2 linked regions of the Macaca fascicularis genome follow. The protein of the gene in region 2 purifies or fractionates together with the protein of the main gene of each other region. This does not show direct contact. Links are inferred from orthologs where the notes say so. Each region holds a gene or a part of one and is shown on either strand. Other genes may lie near its edges. The genes, in order: ABCD3 and PTPN1.

What was found.
Region 1: the proteins of PTPN1 (region 2) and ABCD3 purify together in Homo sapiens (affinity purification with mass spectrometry; 3 studies listed by BioGRID and IntAct, with this or other methods). This does not show direct contact. The link is inferred for Macaca fascicularis from reciprocal best matches to the Homo sapiens genes PTPN1 and ABCD3.

What each region holds. Positions count from the first base shown.
Region 1 is NC_088375.1:139,934,659-139,938,477, forward strand, and holds part of ABCD3 (ATP-binding cassette sub-family D member 3), read right to left. Parts: intron 2,874-3,819; coding exon 2,782-2,873; intron 2,696-2,781; coding exon 2,623-2,695; intron 1,415-2,622; coding exon 1,351-1,414; intron 1-1,350. UniProt on the Homo sapiens protein: Broad substrate specificity ATP-dependent transporter of the ATP-binding cassette (ABC) family that catalyzes the transport of long-chain fatty acids (LCFA)-CoA, dicarboxylic acids-CoA, long-branched-chain fatty acids-CoA and bile acids from the cytosol to the peroxisome lumen for beta-oxydation.
Region 2 is NC_088384.1:106,672,096-106,675,914, reverse strand, and holds part of PTPN1 (tyrosine-protein phosphatase non-receptor type 1), read right to left. Parts: intron 2,286-3,819; coding exon 2,148-2,285; intron 1-2,147. UniProt on the Homo sapiens protein: Tyrosine-protein phosphatase which acts as a regulator of endoplasmic reticulum unfolded protein response. Mediates dephosphorylation of EIF2AK3/PERK; inactivating the protein kinase activity of EIF2AK3/PERK.

The sequences.
Region 1 (3,819 bases), on a different chromosome or scaffold from region 2:
ACGTAAGAAAACACTTCTGCGATATGTGGAGCCAGTCGATATTTATCAACTACATTTACATTTTCTGTACTTCACCATGTATTTCCTGGCTTTGGAATAAATATGATAATAATAGACTACTCATTGTTGAATAAGTTCAAAGTACTTTGCATAACTAACAATTTTCATTTTTATAATTCATTGAAAAGAAAGTAGACATGTGCTTAATACAAATTACTAAGAGCAGAAAACTGAACACTTCCTTAAGACTGTAACAAATTAAAAACAAGTCCAATAATCATACTCTTTATTTTATAAACTATCAGACAATATTCCTTCAAAGACAGCAGTAGGAAAAAAAATCCCCACATAAAACACAAACTACAGATGGCCATGCACATAAGCATGTGGAGAGGAATTCCAGAGCTGTGCTGTCCAATACCATAGCCACTACTCACATGTGGCTATTTAATTTTAAATCATATTAATTAAATTAAAATTTAAATTGAGTTTTGCAGCTGTACTAGTAACATTTCACATGCTCAGTATCTACACATGGCTATTTTACTGGATAGTGAAAGTATAGAGCATTTCCATCATCGCAGAAAGTTCTACGGGAAAGTGTTGTTCTAGAGAAATGGTGTCTAGAATGGGGAAGATAGCCTATGTGATAGGAATTTGTTACTAATTATGAAGATTTCTGGATCTGAACCATTCATAAAGCCACAACATAGAGAAAACCTAAATAGTAACCCTTAAATCTGCCAGTCTTACACAATCATACAAAAACATTCAACTTTTGTCTTTTCTTTTTAATTTGGTCTGCCATATCCCATTTCATTAGCACAGTAGATTGAATCAACATCAGTATTTACTTGGCATGGGATTTTACTTGTTTTAGGTGAGTGTCTATTTGTAGCACTACTGTGCGACTCTTCCCCTGTTTTCATCAGTAATAAAACAGTCTGTATTTTGTTTTTATAGGTACAAATCATCCTGTACAGTCACAATAATACCAACCACATCATAAGTTTCTTTTTAATGTAAAGAGACTAAAATTATATTTGTGTTTAAATATTCATTTTACACTGGAGACTCCAATTTACTATATTTTCTATGGCTTTCTTGACATAAACTTCATTTACAAAAAGTTTTTTGGTAGTAGTATTTGAAATTTTGAAGTCCTGTCAATTAAGAAAAATAGATTTCTAAGTGTTTCAAAGACTTACTTTTTAAAGCAATTCTGTGGATTCAGAGACTAAGTCGAGCCTTAAAGTTAATTTAAATATTCAGGTAACCTTTTTTCAGTTCACATTTTAAAGATGATTTAAGCTTCTCCGTCTCAAAAAATAAATAAATAAATAAACTTACTTCAAAATTAAGGTCACGGATCAAAATATCTCCATTTGGCGTTGCTAAAGGAACATGATCAAACCTATAGAGGAAATTCAAAAAAAGAGAACTACTGTAAAGTATATAAGGAACTAATACAACTCAATACCAAAAATACAAATAATCTGATTAAAAAATGGGCAAAGGGCTTAAACACTTCTTAAAAAGAAAAAATTCAGATGGCCAACAGGCATACGAAAAGGTGCTCAACATCTCTAGTCATCAGGAAAATGCAAATCAAAACCACAATGAGATGTCACCTCTCACCTGTTAGGATGACTATTATCAAACAGACAAATGGTAAGTGTTGGCAAAGATATGCAGAAAGGAAACCTTGTATGTTGTTGGTGGGACTACAAATAGTACAGTTATTATGGAAAACAGTATGGATGTTCCTCAAAAAATTAAAAGTAGGACTACTGTATGACCTAGCAATCCCACTTCTGGGTACATTTGCAAAGGAAATAAAATCAGTATCTCAAAAAGAATCTTCCTCCCATGTCCACTCCAGCATTACTCACGATAGTCCGTATATGAAAACTACCTAAATGTCCTTCAGCTGATGAGAGGATACAGAAAATATAGTGTATATAGTGTGTATATATTCACACACACACAAAATACATACAATAGAATATTACTCCACCTTTAAAAAAGAAGGAAACCGGGCCATTTTCAACATAGATGGATCTGGAGGACATTACGTTAAGCAAAATAAGCAAGACACAAAAAGAGAAACACTATATGATCTTACTTGTATGTGGAATTTAAAATAGCCAAACTCATAGAAGTAGAGAGTAGGATGGTGGTTGCCGGGGGGTAGGGAGAGAGGAAATGGGGTTAATATCGGTCAAACGGCACAACAATTCAGTGATGCCAGATGAATAAATCCTGTAGATACACTGTACAGGGACAATAGTAGAAAATACTACATTGTATACCTGAAATTTGCTAAGACACATCTAAATTAAATTCTCACCAAACACACACAAAAATGGTAACTATGTAGAGGTGACAGGTAAATTAATTAGCCTAAATGTAATCATTTCACAACGTATACAGATATCAAAGCATCAAGTTGTATACTTTAAATATTAATATACGCAATTTTTATGTCAATGATACCTCAAAGCTGTTTTTCAAAAAAGCAGAAATAATTTTAAACACTAAGCAATTGTAAGCTGAAAAAGAAAGACTACTATGAAGTTTAACAAACATTTATGGTGCTAAAGAACCTTTTTCTGTACGTACTTTATAATGTTATCTGCAATAATGATTTCTCCAGCACCAGGTATCAAGGGAATGACTTGTACTCCTTCAATACCTTAAATGGAAAATAGGTATTAAAGCATCATATTACGTCAGCAAACACTTAAAATTGTGACCTTAAACTGTGACACTCATATTTACCCTTTTCCTGTTGTGAGACCATTGTGCGCTCATATTTGCCATGATTTAAATCCTTCAGTACTTGCATTAATTCTGTAATCCGAGCAGTAAACCTAAAATTTTAGAAAAGGAAACCATAATCAAAACTCCAGACTACTGTCACATCTTTTATTTTACACCAACATAAGTTCCTAAAATTATAATCTAGTATAAATGAAGTAACCTAACAGTCTCATCAACATAAAGTATTAATGATAGCATGCATGCTTTATTATGTTTCAGTAGGAAAGCAGGAATATAGGGATGAAGAAAGAGGTTTCCATAGGATCCCCAACTCAACAGATACTTCATTAATAGCCAAGTCAAGACAGTTATTTGCTGAGAATTTTCAGGAGGTTTCTCTTGTATACTACAACAGGACCACTACACTAGTATATTCCTTAGACCCAAGAAGTATGGACTCTGAGATCTTGTTGAAGCGGCCTATAAAGCCATGTATAAAGTTGGTCTTTCTATCCAAGGAAGGCATTCATTAAATGTATGCTGAATGCATGCTGCCTTCCTGCAAATGGAAGAATCTGAAAGATTCCCTCTTTCTTACTCTCAAGAGGGGAAAGATGAAGAGTTCTTATTATTAGATAGAAATAACTGTGGCAGTAGAGAAAAATCAAAACTAACAACGAGAGGTTGGAGATAACAAAAATGACCATGATTGCCAAAGAGAAAGTATTCTGCATCGAAGAAGAAAACAGGATTTTTCTCTGAATAACAAGCAGAAACCTCCTAAAGCAAACTTTGGGAGGTGATGAATGCTTATGATCTTGATGGTTTCACAGGTGTATAACTTATCCCCATGTTCATCAAATTGTATACATTAAATAGGAACAGTTTCTTATATGTCAATCATACCTCAACAAAGTGGAGAAAAGAGAAAGAAAGGAAGGCAGGGAGAGGGAGGGAGGGAGGGAAGAGAAAGACATACACACCTACAGAGGAAGAGAAAGAGAAAGAGAGAGAGAGAGTGAAAGGAAACATCCTTAAGAAACAGAAAAGAACCTT
Region 2 (3,819 bases):
CTGCCTCAGCCTCTCGAGTACCTGGGATTACAGGCGCCCGCCACCACGCCCGGCTAATTTTTTTGTGTGTGTTTTTAGTAGAGACAGGGTTTCACCATCTTGGCCAGGCTGGTCTTGAACTCCTGGCCTCGTGATCCACCTGCCTCGGCCTCCCAAAGTGCTGGGATTACAGGAGTGAGTCACTGCGCCTGGCCGTTAAAATGTATTTTAAAACTGAGTAAGAAGCAAGCATGCCAAACTCAAGTTTTCTTTTAATCCTTGAAGGTGTGGGTTACCGCCCACTGATACCCTCCCTCACACCTGCCCACATCTTTCACAAGGAATTCACTCCAGCCTTGTGCTAGAACAGACAGCCATGGCTGAGAAAAGCCTTTTAAAAACAAAGTCTGTTGGAGCAAACAGATCCTAACATCAAAACCTCTGAGCTGGCTGTATTCATTCTGCCAAGCAAAAAGCACACAGCTCTTCTGCTCTGTTGAAATTCAGTTTCCCTCAACAAGCAAAGAGTTCCCCAGAAGTCACTCTTAATGTCAGGTTTGCAAACGCTAAAAAGCATTTTTTTAAAAGTCTACTGCATAAATCCTCTAGCACATTCCAACATGCTGCCCATGTTACTCCGAGAATCTTCCAGAAAGCGCCTCCATCCACTGTACTCAGAGCCCCTCTGCCCTACCAGGGCTATGGCAGGACTGCTGACTCTGGAGCGGTCACCACCAGAGGGCAGAAAGCACTCGAAGCAGCTGCACTGCTACCGTCCTCAGGAGCCAGGCAGCCTGAACCCCTTCCCTACTTCCTGGTAACCTGTGCTAAATTCTAGATCTTACTTTCACTATTCTATTTTTTTTTTTTTTTTTTTTTGAGACAGGGTCTTGCTCTGTCACCCAGGCTGGAGTACAGTGGTGCAAGTATAGCTCACTGCAGCCTTGAACTCCTGAGCATGAGCAATCCTCCTACCTCAGCCTCCTGAGTAGCTGGACTATAGGGGAGTACCACTATGTCTGGCTAATTGTTTTTGTTTTTTTTTTTTTGTAGAGACGGGGGTCTCGCTATGTTGCCCAGGCTGGTCTTGAACTACTGGCCTCGAGAGTAATCCTCCTGGCCTCAGCCTCCCCAAGTGCTGGGATTAAAGACATGAGCCACCACAGCTGGTTTACATCAACTATGAAATGAATGGCAGGAACCATGATGATTAAAAAGTAGTGCTTGAGAAGGGGAGGCATGGGGTCACCCAGAAGCAGATCCCTCCCCACCCACACAGCCCTGGAGCCCCAGTCCACATGGTCTCCCTACAGCTCCATCTTCCCTTCAGACAAAGCCCGTGCTACACACCCACAGTAACTGCTAACCCTTCCCACACAGGACCTCCCAGAACCCTGGCAAAACCTGCGTTTGACAGAAGAGGAAACGGAGACACCGTGACGAGCTGGTAAGGTGGGACCAGGATTCCACCCCAGTTAGGTTCCAGAGGTTGGTGGCTTGCCATCTTCACTGGCGCCCCCAGGTGCTGCCTCGCACTCCCTCCACTGTTCCCCAGAATGAAACGAACACCTCCAAGTTACGGATCCAGGGGAATTATTCTGAAGCCCCAGGAGCAGAGCCTTCAGTGGTGGTGCTGCTTACCACAATGCCTTGCCATGTCCCAAGACCAACTTTTACCAAGCAAGTAGCTGGTGTTATAAACTCTTCCCACAACAAATAAACCCAATACCAGGCCTAGAAAACTTCCACTAGCTATAAAACTGGAGTGAGACCCCAGACCCCTTCTTCCCTCTCTTCAGACTCAAAGACTGAGGACCACAAAGAAGGCAGCATGCTCCGCTGGGACCTGCAGACTGCCGCTTCGGTCCCTCTGCAGCTGCACAAGCAGGAACCAGTCTTTTGGGTCAGAAACTCTCCTTTCCCTAAGAACCGGTGTTAACTGTTGTTAAAGGTCAGAGAGAGCACTGTGGTTTCCACCCTTTCTGGGCATTCCTGGGCACTTGGTAGGTGCACAAGTAAGCTCCGCTCACCTCAGTGCCAAAACCACATCTTGCTCGGGGTACACAAAAGCCAGGAACACTGGCAGGAGGTAATATCACCCAAGGGATAAAGGAAGAGGCATCTGAACCAGTAGCCGCCTGAAGTGCTGAAGTGCGTGCCATACTCACTGTAAGGTTTTCCAATTCTAGCTGTCGCACTGTATAATATGATTTGATATCTTCAGAGATCAATGTTAATTTCAAGTTTGTGTCTTCAAAGATCATTTCTTTTTCTTCTTTTTGTGGCCAGTACTGTGCGCATTTTAACTGGGGGAACAAATAACAGTGAATTATTGTGAGCAACCATTTTCCTATGGCAGGAGGCCTGGAGCACATCCCACAAGCTTCATGATAACCCAAAGACCTGGGGTTTTCTGAACATGGAAGCCATGGTCAGCACAGATGCCTGCTTCATGGGGAGATGGGGGTGGGGGCACGAAGCTGCTGACTGGGGCAGGTTGTGCAGACAGGGCTCAGACTTCCAAACCCATCAGCTCCCTGGTCAAACACGGCAATGGGGTCCTGCAGGGCTCTGACGCTTTCTCACAGTCTATGAGGTGAAGCCAGATTGTACAAAAGGCTTTGAAACTCCTCTATGTAGCCATTTCAAACATTACACAGGACCTGATCAGGCTGCTGGCATAGAATGTAGGTGCTTTACTCTGCACAGAAAACTCACAGGCAATTAAAAATAAAACTGGGAGAGACGGCAGGTGAGGCCCTTTGGAAAGGCTGAACGGTTGTCACCAAATGCAGACTCCCTTTCAGAGAAGGCTTGGAGACGGGCTCCCCAGGGCTTGCCCTTTCATTCTGGTTTGGTTCAGTTCATTCAGAAAAATACTTTTGATGTTCTATTTTGATAATCTGAGACACTATTTGATGTTCTCGATTTAAATGTAGCTTGTTAAATTTTTCTTTAAAACAAGCAAATTTATGAAAATTTGGTTTCATTTAGGGTCTAAGACAAAAACGGACTCGAATTTAGTGACATTTACTGAATCTGCCTCAGTTATGCAAACGTTTCTGCTCATGGATAACTGTTGTGGACAAAAATGGCAGATCAACAGGGGCAGAGCTACCGGGTCAGCCTGACCATGTGCCTGGACATAGGGAAGCTCAAAGCCCTTATGATTTTCAGCGGAAGAAATGTCAGCGTGTGTCAACAGCTCTTTGGCAAATGACACTTGCAGTTCACGTGCACTGACCCACTCAATACCTCCTCTGGGGCAAAGGATGGTGTGGGTGAAGGGAACCACTTCAGGGCCAGCTGTCTGTGAGGAGAGACTGCTGTACCCAGCAGTGACAAGGTGGGCCACGGAGGAGGGCTGAGGGGGAAATGCTACAGACAGGCAGCAGGAATTCAGAAGAGGGAAATGTTTCAGGTCAGCCAAAGTTACAGGAAAGAAAGATCAGAGAAAGCTCTATGCAAGAGGCAGGTTTTGAAAGATGACTAGGATTTCCTAGGCAGTGACTGCAAATAAGCCAGGCTGAAAAGAGCAGCTGGAGAAGGGGCCAGCAGAGGCCCAGATCACAGCCGACTGGCAGCAGGCCCACGGACCTGTGGCATCATCTGGGGGCAATGAGGAGCCAGGAAGCACTTGAAGAGGGTGAATATAGAACCACAAATGCCTATTGGTCCTGCTCTGCTGAAGCTGGAAGCTGCCCAAAAGACAAAACCAAAGCAAAATGTGGGAGAAACAAATTAAGAAACACTAGGTTGTGATGCCAGCATCACAGCAAACTTCTCAGTGCCAGACCAGAAGCCAACAGAGCTTTCTGAAGAGTCTGGACACGGGCCTGT